Tamandua tetradactyla: one gene and its partner. The protein of the gene in region 1 binds, or shares a complex with, the protein of each later gene. Links are inferred from orthologs where the notes say so. Each region holds a gene or a part of one and is shown in the gene's direction. Other genes may lie near its edges. The genes, in order: ANP32A and nucleoside diphosphate kinase A.

Region 1 (9,084 bases):
AATGACAGGGACCAGGGCTGCAATATTGAGAATGGAGAGGAAAGGTCAAATTTAAGAGTTTTAAGGACAAGATTTCACAGTTTTGAAATAAGCAATGGTTGTTCCTTAAGAGTTAGTAACACATACATGTTTATAATCAGAATTTCAGCTCCCATTGTTGAGAAATGACTGATGTGTCCCCTTACTTGGGATCAAGTTTTTTCAGGAAATTCAGGGGCCCTGGCATTGCTGAGCCCCTCAGCCATTTTACCACCTACTCCATTTCCCGCAATCTGATTTCTTTGGAATCTTCATTGCCTTCCCAGTCACATCTTTTGGGGACTGAGTATTATGAATATGAGGGGTCCTCTTGAGTGTTAAATTTGAAGAATGAAGCATACAATCCTGTGTAGGTTTGTTTTAGGGGATTGAAAGTTCTTTATACTGAGTAATTCCAGTTGTTGGACTAGAGAAAGTAACCACATTCAGATATTTTTAAATGGCCAGTAGTATTGTAACTCTAAACCCAAAGTACAAATTTTCAGTTTAATTTTAACTCCTTTAACTTTGCACTTAGCTCACACCCAGGACTTGGCAAAGGAAATGGGCCTTAATTTTTTTTTTTTTCCTTTTCTTTCTTTTTTAAACAGAACACACCCTGGATGTGAAAGGTATGTTCTTTTCATTTTGAAGGTTTTTAGAGCAGAGGCTGCCCAGTACAGATGAGAGGAATGGGGTTGGAATTGCAACAGAAGGAGTTAAGAATCTTAAATCTCTGGGGTCAGAAGTTTTGAAACATGTTAGCCTATCCTGAGACTCTCCATGGAGGTGGGGGATGGGCTAAGTAACATTCACAGGTCAACTGTTGAGCTGGTGATTTTGCTTTGCCTTGTTTGATTTGTTTAGACACTTCACAGGCAGCCTATCCTGCTGTCCCCAGTGTAACACACCATCCTGCCTTGCCTTGCAGAAGAAGTCGTGGGCTCCCCACCATGTGGCTTTAGGCTTTTTGGTGATATTCACCAACCTCAAAATCAAAGTCCTGACCTCTCCCTTTTCTCTTTGATCTCACCTCAAACAGTGCTGAAACCCCTACCAGGAAGGAAGTACACATGCAGTGGGCATTCCAGAGACTCTACTACCTCGACTATTAACAGCCATCTGGTCCTTCAGAAACCATAGGGTTTCTCAAGTGAATGGGAACATCTTTTCAGCTCCTGGAGGAGAGAGCTTGGTTCCCAGACGCTTCAGGGTCCCTCCAGATTCTTGCTTTCTGACTGCAGCATCATCTGAGCAAGGGCCCAGCTGGGTTTTGTCCTTTGGTTACCAAGGAAGTGTAACCAAAGGACTGTGTAACATCTGGGACTGCTAGAAGTGGCGCCCACCCAGCTAATGGGACAGCTGGAAAAGGGGTTAAAGGGAACAGTTGTGGTTAAGGGAACTTCTACACTTGAGTTGATGTTCTGGGAGAGTTTGTGCCCTTTTCATCTTTTTTTTTTTTTTTTTTTTTTTTTCTGTTTTATTGATAATGGCCATTCTGGTGGGTGTGAGATGATATCTCATTGTGGTTTTGATTTGCATTTCTCTAATAGCCAGGGAAGTTGAGCATCTCTTCATGTGCCTTTTGGCCGTTTGTATTTCCTCTTCTGAGAAGTGTTTGTTCAAGTCTTTTGCCCATTTTGTAATTGGGTTGGCTGTCTTACTGTTGTTGAGTTGAACAGTCTCTTTATAAATTTCATCTTTAAAGCCAACACTGACCACCTTGATTAGTATGTACCCCTCTAGGGTCAAGTCCTGAGATTTTAGGATAAGTGGTTCACCCCAACTCCTACCTTATTAAAAAAAAAAAAAAACAACCAAAACTTCATATTTTAAAATAATATCAGACTCACGCACAGTATAGTTACAAAAATAACACAGACCCCATACAGAAAACTCCAGCATACCCCCACGCCCCCAGATACCCAGATCTACCATTTTAACATCTTGCCACCTTTGACATATCCTTCTATCTTCCATTTATCCTGTCTGTCTGCCTGTATCTATCTAGCTGTTGTCTGAACATTTGAGAGTAGGTTGCATACATCATACTGCTTAAATATGTGATAATTCCATGTACATTTCTTACAAACAAGGATATTCATTTATGAAATTACCCAAAGTACAGTTTTCAAGTTCAGGAAATTTAATATTGATATATACCTTACATTTTACATTCTCGTATTTTCTTGTGTCCCAATAATGTCTTTTTGAACCTTTTCTCCTCCATTCTTATATCCCATCCAGTATCATACATTGCTTTTAATTCTTTTTTAAATGTGAAAACATATATATAACATAAATTTATCCATCCCAGTCCCTCCCAAGGATACTATTCACTTAATCACCACCATCCATTACTAGAACTTTCCCTCCACCGCAAACAGAAACTCTACACTCGTTTTACATTAACTCCCCATTTCCCCTGTTCCCCACCTCTGACAACCTCTACCCTGTTTTCTGATTTTTTTTTGTGGTTATGATGGGGCTTATAACATTTTAAATCTTTAGCAGCCTCATTTGCTTTGATACCACCTTAACTTCTAAGAGCATATATAAACTGTGTTCCTGTACCCCTCTATCACCTCACCTTTGTGTAATTCTTGTCATAGATTACATATTTATACGTTATAAATCCAAAACCGTTGATTATTTGTGGGAAGCAAAAAGTGGAGTTTCAAATTTAAAATATGATAGTGCGGGTATTTATATTTACTCATTTCACTGTCTTTACTGGAGATCTTTATTTCTTCCTATGGCTTCAATCAGTGTCTAGTGTTCCTCCCTTTCAACTGAAGAACTCCCTTTAGCATTTCTTATAAGGTCAGATAACTGATTACAATGTCCCTCAGTTCTTGTTTGTCTGTGAGTGTCTTAGTTCCTTCCTCTTTTTATTTATTTTTTTTTATTTTAGTAACATACCAACTAAAATTTCTCCCTTTTTAACTGTATTCAGAAATGTAATCTCCTTCATTTTTTAAATATTTTCTTTAAATTGTGAAATATAACATACACACAAAAAAGCAATAAATTTCCAAGTACATTTTAACAAGTACTTATAGAACAAATTTTCATGTTTGGTATTGGTTATGGTTCCACAATTTTATTTTATTTTTTTTCTTGTAGCTGCTCTTAAGACACTAGAGACCAACAGAAATATCAATATAATGATTCAGGAGTCATACTCATTTGTTAAATCCTTTCTTCTCTGTTATACGTCTCTTCTTTAAATAGCATATATATACATAAAAGCAATAAATTTCAAAGTATATCACAACATTTCCTTCATTGTTGAAAGACAGTTTTGCTGGATACAGAATTCTTGCTTGGTGATTTTTTTTTTTTTTTTTGCTTTTAGCATTTTAAATCTGTCTTCAGTGCCTTCCTGCCTCCTTGGTTTCCATAGAGAAACCAGCACTTGAATCTTATTGAGGCACCCCTGTATGTGGCATTTAGCTTCTCTTTTGTAGTCTTAAGAATCCTCTCTTTATCCTTGGCAGTCAGCAGTTTGATTATAACATGGCAAGGCATGGATCTATTTGGTTTTATCCTGTGTGGAGTTCATTGAACATCCTGAATATGTATATTCATGTGTTTGCTTAATTTGGGGAGTTTTCAGCCATTATTTCTTTGAATATTCCCTCTGCCCCTTTCCTCTCTTTCTGGGACCCCCACAATGGTGATAAGCTTGATGATGTCCCACAGGTTCTTCAGGCTCTGTTCACTTTTCTTCATTTTTTTCTTTTTTCTCCTCCTCAGACTGGATGATTTCTGTTGTCTTCAAGCCCCACTGATTTTTTCTTCTGCGAGCTCCAATAAGCTGTTGAACCCTTCCTGGGAACTTACATTTCTGTTACTATGGTTTTTCAGCTCTGTTTGGTTCCTTTTCATAATTTCCATCTCTCTGTTCTCTTTATGTTCATCTGTCCTTTTCCTGATTTCCCTTAGTTCTTTGTCCATGTTTTCCTTCAGCATCCTGAGTATATTTGGGACTGATTTTTAAAAATCTGACTGATACATCTCAGATCTGGTTCTCCTCATTGATGGTTTCTAAGGCTTTAATTTTCTCTCTTGTCTGTGCCATCTCTTCCTGTATCTTTTGTATGTTTTACAGTCTTTTGTGAAACCTGGCTATTTTGATATTTTAGTGTGCTATCTTGAAATTTAGATTTTGAGTCCCCAATTCCTTAAGCTTTTATCAAGCTAGTATTCTGATAGTGCTTTCTTTGAATGCCAGGAATTAACAGTAAAAAAGGAAACACCTTTCCCAGTCTTAGCAGATTGATCTATGCAAGTGCTGCCCTTCAGAGCTTATCTGCACAGTCAATTTGGAGAATAGCTCCAAGCCAAAGCCTGGGGCTTCCTTGATCTTTTCCTACGGGCCTCTTACCTTGGGCATGTGCTCACGGCCCTAGAAATTCCCTCATGTATGCGGTTCCACGTGTCCCCTCATCCCTAGAAAACTGTTTTCTCACCATTCTGGGCACAGTACTGTTTGTCCTACAGCCAGCAACCCCTTGCTCCAGGCAGCACGGCTTGACTGCTCTCCCACAATGCTTTGTAGGAGACCTCAGTGAACTGCCTCCTCTACATGCAAGCCAAGTTCTGGGACAGCAAATCCCTCAAGTCACCACCGGATAGGTCAGGCCAGACATACATGTTCCCCGTATGTCAAAGAGGGTTACTTTGCTCCTTCTGTAACCAGGCCCAGAGCTCACACTGGGAGTGCAGGTTGACCAGCCAGAGCTTCGAAAGATCCTGTTACTTTTAATTTGTCTTTTTCTTGGTTTGGTTCGGTTCTTGACCTGTTACTGCAGTCGTTTAACTGTTTTCTAGAACTTAAGAAAGATTATTTTTGCCAGTTGTTGCTGGTCGTTCAAAGCTTCTGTGGGGGAACAGAGCCCTGAAGTGTCTCATTCAACCATATTAATTGGGACTTTCAGATAGGTAGTTCTGCTGTGAGTATAAGATGAGGAGACTACCCCAATATAATGCATGTGATATACCTAGAGTGTGCCTGAAAAGGCTCAAGAAAGATTCTGGGATTATTAGTAATAAAGTTAGTAATGGCAGTGGCTTGTGTACTGTCCCCGAGTTTGGGTGTGGTGTTGGGAGCTGGGAAGTATCCTGGTCTGAGCTTTGAAACCCTGCCCTGTGTCTGTAGTATTCCTAGGCTGCCAGCAGGAGTGGCAGGCAGTATTGTGCCTCTCTGGGAAAGAGGCCAACTTCCAGGAGGAATTCCCTGACTCCCCAGCACTCCCTTCCCCCATTTCTGAGGCTCTCCTCTCCTTGGTTAATGGCAGTAAGAGGAGAAGCCCTTGACCCATCTAGCAAAACCACGTCTGAAATCTTTGAGGGTGGACTGGAATCCCTTTTCATATTTGTCTTTCTTTGTGGGAGCTTAAAAGAATTCCCAGGGCCTTCCAAGGAAGCCAGTTACTAAAGAAGACTGTTTAGTCTTCTTTATTAACTTCTTTTTTAGACCTTGTGACTCCAGTGTTTACTGCAAATGAAAGCGATGGTTCCCCCTCCCTCCCTCAATATAGTTGATTTCTGTATGTTCGCTCTGATCTCCTACAGCCTGGCTTCCTGACTCTGTATTGTTTTCCTGTCCGAGAGCAGAAGGCCTCACAGAATTTATTCCCAGGCACTCTTGGCCAACAACTTTGAGAAGGTGGTTTGACCTGGCCATCTAGCCTCTCCTGGGGCTTGAGGAGGGTAAGAAAGGAACTTAACTTATTTCATCTCAGAACCAATTTCAGAAAGGTGGGCCTTGGTGGCCAGGGTATCTCTGGGAAAGAGCTGCCATTCCCTGGGTTTTATCCTCTGTGATCTATGCCAGATCAAACCTAAAAACTGCTGCTGGCTGAGACAGGGTGCTCTGCCTCTGTTCTGAGGAAAAATTGGAAACAGAGTAGCTGTGGGCCCCTGCAGGACTCAGATGCAGGTGTGCCCTCAGGGGTCCCCTGCTGGCAGGGATGGACCAAGGGGAGGCTGGGTATCCTGTCCCCAGCTCTTCTTCCAAGTTTCCGCTTGGCTCAGAGATGCCTGAGTAGGAGGGAGACACTATTCTTTCTACCCCACCTGGAGGACTGTGACAAGCTGTGGTCATCTTGGACCCTTTGGAAGCTAGACAAACTGGCCTGCTCAGAGCCTGGGGCACTGTGGAGGGTGGGAGGGAAGGAACTGCCCTAGACAAGGGCTGGGTTGAATGTCCATCTGCCTGTCTAAGAGAAGAAAAGACTTCAGACAATTGGAGGGCTACTATTGAGGACAAACCTGTTCCATGTGAGCTATTGGTGAAAAATCAGGACCTGTGGATGGAAGTCTGGAAGTCCCAGGAGACATCAGTAAATGTTTCCTGGCAGGCTGCAGGTAGTAGAAAGGTGAGGATGGCTGTGATCCTGGGCTGGGTATTATAGGGGGTTTTGAGTATCAGATACAGCCCTGAGGGATCACCTTTAAGGAGCTTTTCAGCCCTGGTTTATTTCATGCCTGAGACTTAATTACTTTCTCTCAGATGATCTTCCTACCATCTTTACTAGAGCCTGGAATTTCACTTGCAACTCTATTCCTGCATTTAAGACAAATCTACTTCTAAAAGCCTCCTTCTGTCTCCTTAGAAATAAAAGTTGTTTTTGTTTTTAATTTTTTTAAACATAACATACAAATGTGAACATTATTAGCATATGATCATTCCATTCTTGGTATATAGTCAAAAACTCAAAGTATCATCACTGTGATCATTTCTTAGAACATTTGCATTAATTCAGAAAAAGAAAAGAGAACAAAACTCATACATAACATACCCTTTACCTTTCCCTCTCATTGGACTACTAATATTTCCATCTACCCAATATATTTTAGCCTTTGTTTCCCCTATTTTTTTCTATTCCCATTACCATTCCCTTTCATTAATCACTAGCAGTTCAATTTACTAAATTTAACATTTGTTCCACCTATTATTTATTTATTTTTAATCCCTATGTTTTACTTATTTGTCCATACCGTAGATAAAAGGAGCATGAGACACAAGGTTTTCACAATCACACAGTCACATTGAGAAAGCTGTATCATTATACAATCATCTTCAAGAAACATGGCTACTGGAACACAGCTCTGCATTTTCAGGCACTTCCCTTCAACCTCTCCAATATAACATAACTAAAAAGGTGATATCTAAATAATGCGTAAGAACAACCTCCGGGATAACCTCTCAACTCTGTTTGAAATCTCTCAGCCATTGACACTTTATTTTGTCTCATTTCACTCTTCCCCATTTAGGTCAAGAAGGTTTTCTCAATCCCTTGATGCTGAGTCCCAGCTCATTCTAGGATTTCTGTCCCACATTGCCAGGAAGGTCCACACCCCTGGTAGTCATGTCCCACGTTGGGGGGGGGGGGGCAGTGAGTTTGCTTGTCCTGCTGACTGAGAGAGAGGCCACATCTGAGCAACAAAAGAGGTTCTCTTGGGGGTGACTCTTAGGCCTAAATTTTAAGTAGGCTTGACCTATCCTTTGTGGGGTTAAGTTTCATATGAGCAAACCCCAAGATTGGGGGCTCAGCCTGTAGCTTTGGTTGTCCACACTGCTTGTGAGAATATCAAGAATTCAACTTGGGAAAGTTGCATTTCTCCCCATTCTCACCATTCCCTGAAGGGGACTTTGCAAATACTTTTCCACTCACTGATCAAATCACTCTGGGATTCATCGGGGCATCACTCTGGACAAACCTACAAACTCTCATGCCCTACTCAAGGTTCCATGTACTTGTGGTATTCAATTAAACTGTCCACACAATTTATATTAGGAAATGCACTAGTCAAATTATAAATTTTTTACCAAATAAACATTGTTTTGCTTTAGTCTCACATAAATTAAAGTTTTTAAAATATGAATTACCATGTTTTCAGCACCCTGCAATACTGACGTTCCTTTGTTCTTCCTCATGCAAAAACATTTTATAATTTGTACATTTGGTCACTATCATTGTACACTCTAGGCATTCCTAGATTATACCATCTTAGTCTTTATCGTCTGTCTTTCCTTCTGATCTCATTTGTGCCTGTCATTCTCACATTCAGCTTCAAGAAATAAAGGGTTTTAAGACTCAAATTTGTGGTAAGAGGAGAAGGGAGAACATAAGGACTCTAATAAGGCAAAACTACCTCTAGGGAGTTGGAGAGGGATAAGAGGTCAGAGGTACTGCCAAAGGCCTTTTAGGCTTTGCCAACCTCAGCATGTCATGGGCCAACCTTAGGTTTGTGGCTTGATTTCCATTTTTGCCTCCCACTTCTTTGCTCAGGACCCCGAAGAGCAAAATTAAAGTTGTGTTGTTCTATATAATTCTTAATACTTAATTAAAATTGAATTTAAAATTCAGTTCATCGGTCACACTAGCCACATTTTGAGTGCTCAGAAGCCACATGTAGCTAGTGGCTACTCTCTTAGACAGTGAGGAACATTGCCCAAATTGCTGGATGTTCTATTGGACAGTGCTGGTCTGGAGAGGAAGAAGAGTCCTGGTCTGCTGCCCGTCGTGGAGCAGGCCAATGGGTGACCTTGGTGATGAATGCCAGCATCAGGTGGGCAGGCTTTGCCTGATGTCAGGAGCTGGTGAGAGCGAGCATGTGTGTGAATCTGGGAAACTGTCAGCAGGCAGCAGGTCAGGGACTCGTGGAGGCAAAAGGAAGTGGGGCGGTGAGGATCAGAAGTAGGTAGCTGGGATGGTTAGGTTGGGGTCATAAAAAAGGCACTGGAGTCAGGGGAGATCTGATAGTGTTGAGTCCTAGGCCCAGAGGTCCTCAACAACATAGTGGCCAGTCCTGGTAGGGAGCTGTGGGACTGGTGTTTTCGTTTTAAATGGGGTTTGGGGGAGAATGTGGCATTAGGGTTGGAATAAAACCACCTTCCTGGGCATAGCAACAGAGCCTGTTGGATTTGTCTCCTCCAGTCCAGCAAAAGCTCCTGTCTGAAGTGGCTTCCTGGTTTGGCAACTCTGCAACCCGACCCTCCTTTTCTCCTCAATAGTGCTGAAGGCAGAAAGACCAGGATAGGTGAACTGTCCT
Region 2 (9,128 bases), on another chromosome or scaffold:
TTCAGCTCTGTTTGGTTCCTTTTCATAATTTCCATCTCTCTATTGATAGTCTCTTTCTGTTGTTTTCAGGATTTCCTTTAGTTCTTTGTCCATGTTTTCCTTATCTCTTTGAGCATATTTAGGACCATTTTTTTTAAGTCTTTGTCTGGAATGCTCCGGGACTGAATCTCCTCATTGATGTTTTTTAATCGCCTTAACCTTCACCTTTGCCTGGGCCATTGTTTCTTGCTTCTTTATATGTTTTCTAACCTTTTGTTGAAACCTGAAAATATTTTGATACTTTTGTGTGTTATTAATAGAATGTAGTCTCTAAGGCATCTGCTCCTTAAGCTTGTATCCAGTTAGTTTTAAGACGAGGCTTTACTTGAATGCCAGTCACTGAGAAGAAAGGAGAAGGAGAAAGAGAAGGAGAAAGGGAGGAAGAGCAAAGAAGGAAGGGAGGAAGAAGGAAAAAAAAGAAAGCACCTTTCCAGGCTTTGTAGATTGATTTGTGTGAGTGTTCCATGCCAAAGCAGAGTGGCTACTCCAATTCTTTCTGCACATGTGTCTTGGCTTGGGCATGTACATGTGGCCCTAGGAATTCCCCATTTTTATGGATATGATGTCCCCTGTTCTCTAGGAAACAGTTTCCTCATGGTCCTGAGCACTAAACTGTATGTCCTGCAACCAGCAATCCTTTGCCTTAGGCACCACAGTTTAACTGCTCTCCCACAGTGTTGTGTAGGAGTATTCTATGAGCTGCCTTCTACACACAGGGCAAGCTCTGATACAGTGAGTTCCTCAGACCACACCAGATAGATTTGCCAGACACATACATGTTCCCAGTATGTGCATAAGGTTATTCTACTCCTTCTGGAACCAGGACTGGGGATCCATACTAGGTGCATGGTCTGTCTCCATGCCAAGCCAGTGAGAGGTTTGGGGAGGCGTCAGCCAGGGCTTGAAGAAATCCTACATCTTTTAAGTAGCCTTTTCTTGATTTGCCCCTCGCCCCGTTAATACAATCCTTTAACTGTTTTCTGGAGCTTTTAGAAAGATGTTTCTGCCGGTTCATGCTGGTTGTTCAAAGCTTCCAAGGGGGATGGAGCCCTGAAGTGTCTCACTCTCTTATCTTGATTGGGGCCTTCAATGGTCTTTTGAGTTCTAGAATTTTAACATTTTCTGATAAGCCACTGTCTTATCCTCCAAAACTTCAATGGCTTTCCACTAACTATAGCCCAAAGTCTAAATTTTTTAGATTAGCATTCAAGGCTTGTCACTAATCTGGTGACCTTTTCCCCTGTTTTTCCATGGGAGAGTCTATTAGGAATATCTAATCAGTTTCTCAGAAATTTCTTACTTTTTCCTTCTTGCATCCTTTGCTTTTGGCTATATTCCTAATCCCCCAATTCCTACAGATATATCTACTTACTACTTTTTTTCTGGGTATCTGAATCCAATCTCTTCTATAAAATGTTTCCACCACCCCATCAAGGCAACCTAGCAACCTCTCTTTTTCTGCCCACAATACTTGATATTATTAGTTCAGTTCACTAAACTTCACCTCTATTATTATTTTGGGCTGTGGATACATTTAATTAAAGAGTTATTTAGCAGGGGGTGGAAGGCCAGTGCAAAGGAGTGAATTACTACTGCCTTAGGTATAAATTTCCACTGTCAGTGATTTCAAGAGGAGGCTGGCTGATTCCTTGTCAGGGTTTCTGAAGAGGTGATTTGTCACAAATTATTTAAGATTCCTTTTAACTTGAAATTCTATAAAGACATAGTTTTCTTTTCTTTTTTGGGGGGGGGTGGGTGGGTGCATGGGCCAAGAATCAAACCCAGGGCTCCTGCATGGCAGGTGAGTATTCTACCACTGAACCACCTGTGTATACTAAGACATAGTTTTCTGATTTGGTTCACAGAAACATTTACCTGTGGAAGCTCAGAGGGCTGTTGTAGGATTGGGAAAGGACGGTCAGGGTGGAGTCATGTATTCAGGATGGCTTCCAGGAACAGATGAGATCTTCCTATTTTCCACTCCCTATACCTCTTCCTCAGTATCTGCCTGGGCAAGAACCTCTTCGACTAATAAGGCTTAAATTATCAATTTAAATGAATCTGTCTCTAGGACATGGTCTTATAGAATCTACCAATCAGTAGCATTGGAATCATTTGGGAACTTATTAGATATGCAAACTCTCAGACTCACTGAATCAGAATCTGTATTTTAACAACTCCCCAGGTGATTTCTTCTTCTTCTTCTTCTTCTTTTTTTTTTTTTGCATGGGCACGCACAAGGAATTTAACCCGGGTCCTCGGCATGGCAGGCAAAAACTCGGCCTGCTGAGCCACCGTGGCCCGCCCTCCTAGGTGATTTCTTTATACATAAAACTTTTAGAAACATTACTATAGTGGACTGCAACCACTGAAAAGGATTTTGTAAATAATTGTATTGAACTGACATTTTATGCACCCTCTCCAAAAAAAAAAAAAAAAAAAAAGAAAGAAAGAAAGAAAGAAAAAGAAAAGAAACCTGGGATTCTTCATCTAGTTATCTTTTTCTCATACCCCACATCCTATCCATCAGCAAGACCTATGGGCTCCATCTTAATATATTTCCTGTAACTAACCACTTGTTTGCATCTCCTTTGTCACCACCTATTGCAAATCATGATTATCTCTTACTTGGATTACTACTGTATTCCCAAACTGGTTTGTTTTTGTTGTTGTTGTTTCATTTAACATTAAAAAAAAAATCTTGAAATAATTGCAGATTCAAACCAAGTTCCAATAAATGGACAGGGTAATCCTGTGTACCTTCCTTTAGTTTCCCCCAGCGGAAAAATCTTGAATAACTATAGTGTAATATTAAAACCAAGAAACTGACATTGGTACAATCCACTGAATTCATTCATATCTCACCAGTTGTACATACTCATTTGTCTAGTTCTATGCAACTTTATCACATGTGTAGATTCATATAACTGCAACCACAATCAAGATACAGAACTCTTCCATTATCACAAGTCTCTCATACTGCTCCTTTATAGCCACATTCATACCCTGTACCCTGCCATCTCTAATTCCCGGCAAACATAATTTGTTCTCCATTTCTCTAATTTTATTTCAAGGATGCTATATAAATGGAATCATACTGTATACAACCTTTTTGACACTGCCTTATCTTTTTTTCCACTTAGCATAATTCTCTTTAGATCCATTGAAGTTGTTTTATATATCAACTGTTTTTTTTTTAATGGCTGAGTATTTCATGGTCTGGATGTACCATGGTTTGTTCAACTATTCACCAAGTAAAGACCACCTGTTCTGTTCCTAATTTTTGACTAATGCAAATAAAGCTGCTACGAACATTTGTGTTCAGTGTGATTGTGTTCATTTTTGGTGTGAACAGAACATAAGTTTTCAATTCTGTTCAAGAATGCCATTGCTGGGTGATGCTGTAAATTCGTGTTTGGTTTTACAAGAAACGGCAAGACTGTTTTCAAGAGCGGCTATATAATTTAAAATTCCTATCAGCAATGCATTGTGGGTGATTCAGGTTTTCTGCATCCTTGGCGGCATTTAGTGTTGTTACTAAATTTTCATTTTAGCCATTTGACAGTGTATAGTGATACCTCATTGTGGTTTTAATTTGCATTGCCCTAATGGCAAATGATGTCTAACATCTCTTCATGTACTTACTTGCCATCTGTATATCCTCTTCAACGAAATGACCTGTCTTTTGCCTACTTTCTAATTTTTTTTTAACTGTTGAGTTTTGAAAGTTCTTTATATAGTCTAGGTATAGGTCCATTATTAGATATGTGGTTTGCAAATATTTTCTCCCACTCTAACTTGTCTTTTCATCCTTCTCACAAAGTCTTTCCCAAGGCAAAAGCTTTTAATTTCGATGAATCTAATTTATTAACTGTTTTCTTTTATGGATTTGGCATTTGTTGTCAAATCTAAACATTCTTCCTTTAGCCCTCAGCTCGGAAGATTTTCTTCTTTTTTTCCTAGACATTTTATAGTTTAAAATTTTATGATCTGCTTTGAGTGAATTTTATATAAACTGTGAGGTCTAGGTCAAGGTTTTTTTTGCCTGTAGATGTCCAATGGCTCCAGTATCATTTGGTGAAAAGTCTCTTGATTCCACTTTTGTCCCATCTCTTCATCCATTCCCCTCACGGCAGTCAGAATGATTTTTAAAAAATAAGATGATGTCATTCTCTGTTCCAAACCCTACAATGACTTCCTACCACAATCTGGCCCCTCTCCAATGGGATGCCTACCGCTGGATGTCTTCAGTCATCTGGAATGCTCCCCCACTTCATTCAGGTCTAGTCTATTATTACTGTCAGTTCCTCAGAGATTTCCTCGACTAGACTTTTTCTTTTCCAACTAGACTTTGAATGTAGCCTTCCTCTTTAACTTTTTCCCCTTGCCTTGTTCTTTATAGCACTTACATAAAACGTTATTATACTACATATCAATTTATTGCTTATTGCTTGCCCCCCTTCTCCCCAAAACCCCACCAGAAACCCCAAGAGTTTACTGCTATATCCCCAGGGCCTAGAATACTGCCTAGAACATGGTAGGTACTCAATTATTTATTGCATGACTTGCTGAAAAAAGGATTGAATAAATATGAGGGAGCAGTACGTCAAATTTATGTAAGACGCTCCTTCAGACTTCGTGAATGGTCTGAGCGCCACCTCTCGGCGGTACCAGTTTGCTTAAAAAAACAAAACAAAACAAAAACGAGGCCGCCTGCCGGAAGAGCACGAAACTAGTGCCGGAAATTAAACATCGGAAGTTTGCGCCCTAGAATGACATCCTACCCATAGAAGGAAGCGTGGACGAATGGTGTCTTCTAAAATGGGACCTTCCCTGCCAGACCTCAGCAGAAGCGTTCCGTGTCCGTCAGTGCTGGGAACCACGTGGGGCCGGGGCGGGTTTCCGGTGTCTGTGGCAGCAGCCAGAGTTGAAGGCCAAGCAGCTGGAGGGGTAAGAGGGGTTCCGGATCTGGAATAGCAAGAAGAATGGGGTCCGGGATGAAGAGGGCGTTTGACGTTCGCCCTGAGAGGCGGGGGGGCGGGGGGGGGGGGAGGTGTGTGTGAGATGGAAGGGAAGGGATGAGGACCCTTTGTCAGCAGGTGCAAACCTGTCAGTGCACCTCCCACGCCACGTGGACTCGCCTTTGTACGTGGCTGCCTTTCACACCGGGCCGCGAGGTCTGGGGTTGTGCTTTATTTGACTCTCTCAAGAACAGTGCCTGGCCAATAGTTGGCGCGGGGTTTGTTGAGTGAATCACAGTGTTTGTGTAGCGGGGTTTGGAGAGGGACATTTGTAGGAGTGATTTCTGTTTTTTTTTTTAGCCCCATTTTCTCCTGGCAAAGCCTTGCTTTCATCTGGGGTTCTCCAGATAGCCTTTGAGGTTTGGTATCTCTTTTTTCGAGGGGAGGGGAGATAATAATTTAAGACGTTTTGTTCGCTTTTCCTGAGTGCTAGGCCATGTGGCTAGGTATTGGAAATTCGCACAGAATTAAACCAGCCCTCTCTGCAGGTCACAGACCAGACATTTATGCAGAAAATTCAAATACAATGTTAAGGTGCTGTGATAGGCCGTAAGTAAAGTATGAAGGCCAAGAGTCAGGAGGTGGCTGCTCTCCACATCAAGGATTGTCTTCCAAGATGAGGGGCCTTTCTCATTGTGTTGACACAGAGCAGGTCATGAGCTGATTCTCCTCTGTAAAAGGAAGAATCGAGATTAGATGCTCTCTAGACTCCTTTCCAGCACAGTAATCTGTGAAATTACAATCTCATATCAGATATTACTAATGACTGTAATTCTTCCTCCATCTATTGTTTATCCGCTAGTCAGAATATTCACTGCATCTTAGGGTATAGCATAAGTTGCATAGGGTTGGGGTTGGGAAACAGGTTGGACCCATTTCCTCATTTGTAAAATGAAGGGGTTGTAATGAAACAATCTAGAAAACTCCTTCCAGTTCTAATACCATGGCTGTGGCACTGGGTCAAACCTTGTTTCTTACTGTCTTGTTACCCTATGTCATTTTCACATGTAGTTTTCCCCATCTGGATTATTGAGAAAGAGGATGTCTTAGTTTTACACCCCTATCTTAGTCTGTCACTGTATTGGGTATACAGTAGGTACTTAAAACTTACTGAGGGAGCCTGGTGCCACTGCCACCCCGCGACGACCACCACCGCCCCCTGTCCTGCAGCCACTGCCTGTTTCGCCGCCGCCTTGGAACCAGCTGTATGATTAGGCCACAATCTTCAATGAGTAAACATATTCCTCAGTTCTGTGGTGTTCTTGGTCACACATTTGTGGAGTTTCTGAAGGGCAGCGGAGATTACTGCCAGGCACAGCACGACCTCTATGCAGACAAGTGAACTGTAGAACTCATTAGTACTCCACCAAGAAACCCCCATAAGAGTGGTTAACCTGGACACAGAAGTGTTGAATTGAAATCTGCAGAGCATTTTACAAGAGTTCTGATCTGGATGGGGTAAACCTCAGTGCACTACTTTAAATTGCCTCAGTATTACTGGATTGAAGAATCGCTGCTTCTTGTTAGGAGGTCCATTTCATTTCCCATTCCTCGCAACTTCATACTCAAAGCACTGAGAATTTCAAGTGGAGTATATTGAAGTAGACTTCAGTTTCTTTACATCGTTTCTGTATTCAATTTTTAAAATTTTTTCATAGCCCTTTGAGTGTTTTTAACTAAATTAACATGGCTCGAATGAACCGCCCAGCTCCTGTGGAAGTCACATACAAGAACATGAGATTTCTTATTACACACAATCCGACCAATGCAACCTTAAGCAAATTTGTAGAGGAACTTAAGAAGTATGGCGTTAGCACAATAGTGAGAGTATGTTAAGCAACTTATGACACTGCTCTTGTGGAGAAAGAAGGCATCCATGTTCTTGATTGGCCTTTTGATGATGGTGCACCACCATCCAACCAGATTGTTGATGATTGGTTAAGTCTTGTAAAAATTAAGTTTCGTGAAGAACCTGGTGGCTGCATTGCTGTTCATTGTGTTGGAGGTCTTGGGAGAGCTCCAGTGCTTGTTGCCCTAGCATTGATTGAAGGTGGAATGAAATATGAAGATGCAGTACAGTTCATAAGACAAAAGCGGCGTGGAGCTTTTAACAGCAAGCAGCTTTTGTATTTGGAGAAATATCGTCCTAAGATGTGGCTGCGCTTCAAAGACTCCAGTGGTCACAGAAACAACTGTTGCATTCAATAAAACTGGGGTGCCTGATGCCATTGCCTTGGAAGTGGAACTTGAGAGAGGAAGAACCTAATTTGTCGTACATATTAGCCACCATGTCGGTGAATAAGTCCAGTTGAAGCTTCCATAGGAGTATTGAAAAGCAGTTTTACCATGCTACAAGTTTGACAGAATTGCAGCCTCTATGTTTAGGTTACAATCAGCTTGTTTGGACACTTAGCAAAAGATTTCTTGCTGGTCAGCATTTAAAATGGGCTTATCATTTGTGACAGTTGACCTTTCCTGAAATCATGCAGTATTGAGTTATAAGTCCTCTTTTAAGTCTCTTATGCCACAATCTTATCAATATATAAGAAATTTAGAGAGATTAGCTGCCAAAATACCCAGCACAATACTTGTATATTTTTAGTATCATTCAGAATTTAAAATCCCAGGAACTATGAACACTCTAGACCTTATGTGGTTTATTCCTTCAGTCATTTCAAACATTGAAAGTAGGTCTGTTTGGTTATCTGCCTGGTCACTTTATGTTTACATCTCCCACATTCATACCAGTATACATCAGGTTTGCACAGCCATTGAATTTTGTTAGATTTTTACCAAGTCTTACGGTGATTATTTAATGTCTATAACTCATTTTGTGATGTTAGAGAAAACCTCCATTTTGAAAATTGACATTGTACAGAAGCACATGTCTTTAATGTCTCCAGACAAAAAAGCATTACAGTTAATTTGATGATTGCACTTTAGGGTGCAACTTAACCAGGAGGGCCTGACAAATAAATGGGAGGGGGCTATTAAATATTTTTAGTAAAGTGTTGCTTTTGTCTTGTGCGGAACATGTAGAATATGCTCTTTAATTTAGTAAATATTTTTTAAAGGTAGACATGCTTTGTGAGGGTAGCTACAATAATTCTTAATCAAAATTTCTGAAATTCTTGTAATTTTTTTCCATATCTATTGAAGGTTGTTTACCAACTATTTTTGTTCGAAGTGTGATTTTTATTTTTATTTTTTCCCCAACCTCTTGCAAAAAAAGAAGTAGGTTTCTGCTGATTCAGCAGACATCTAATATATGCCTTTTGAGCTGTGTAACTTAATATTTGGATACTTGATAATTTGTTTTATTATGTAACTGATAAATGGTGATGTGTATTAATGTTAGTTTAACCATATATTTATACTGTCTGGGAATGTGTGGCTATAGTTCTGTGGGAGAAATAATTTGTCAGTGTTCACCAGCTTGTAAAAACTTAGTGCGAAAGCTTAAACATCTAAATAAATGATGAAATGCAAAAAAAAAAAAACAAAAACAAAAAACAAAAAAAAAACTTACTGAGTTAAATGGGATAGAAATTGTAGCCCCTGTGTTGTACCCTTCCCCATTTTGGAAGATTAGTTCATGGATTAGGGGATTGGTTTTCTACCAGAGAGACTTGGAGTTGACATGACAGATTTAAACCAGCTTCATGGGGTAATCCTCTTGAGAAGGATAATGATGTGGACAGGATAGTCAGTGCTGTTCCTTTTCCCCATCTGCTTTTTCCCAGGACCATGGCCAACACCGAGCGTACATTCATTGCCATCAAGCCTGATGGGGTTCACCGGGGCCTCGTGGGAGAGATCATCAAGCGATTTGAACAAAAGGGATTCCGCCTTGTTGGTCTGAAATTCTTGCTGGTAAATGGATTTCATTCTTCCTGTTTCAGTGCCTTTGTAGTATAGGGGAACATGGCAGATTAGACTCTTTCTTCCTTTTTAGGTTTCTCTGTGGTTGTGGGCACAAATATCCTGAAATATGGAAATCCTTCAGTGCCCTAGCATCGTGACTGAATCGTGGAACAAATCAAGTTATTTGAGGAAATAGAAAATAGT

What was found.
Region 2: ANP32A (region 1) and nucleoside diphosphate kinase A share a complex: the UniProt entries of both Homo sapiens proteins name them as parts of the SET complex. The link is inferred for Tamandua tetradactyla from reciprocal best matches to the Homo sapiens genes ANP32A and NME1.

The regions. Positions count from the first base shown.
Region 1 is NC_135340.1:86,158,692-86,167,775, reverse strand, and holds the start of ANP32A (acidic leucine-rich nuclear phosphoprotein 32 family member A), read left to right. Parts: upstream 1-5,432; 5' UTR 5,433-5,736; intron 5,737-6,250; 5' UTR 6,251-6,338; coding exon 6,339-6,404; intron 6,405-9,084. UniProt on the Homo sapiens protein: Multifunctional protein that is involved in the regulation of many processes including tumor suppression, apoptosis, cell cycle progression or transcription. Promotes apoptosis by favouring the activation of caspase-9/CASP9 and allowing apoptosome formation.
Region 2 is NC_135332.1:32,270,914-32,280,041, forward strand, and holds the start of nucleoside diphosphate kinase A, read left to right. Parts: upstream 1-4,861; 5' UTR 4,862-4,989; intron 4,990-6,628; exon of another isoform or gene 6,629-8,294; intron 8,295-8,803; 5' UTR 8,804-8,807; coding exon 8,808-8,933; intron 8,934-9,128. UniProt on the Homo sapiens protein: Major role in the synthesis of nucleoside triphosphates other than ATP. The ATP gamma phosphate is transferred to the NDP beta phosphate via a ping-pong mechanism, using a phosphorylated active-site intermediate.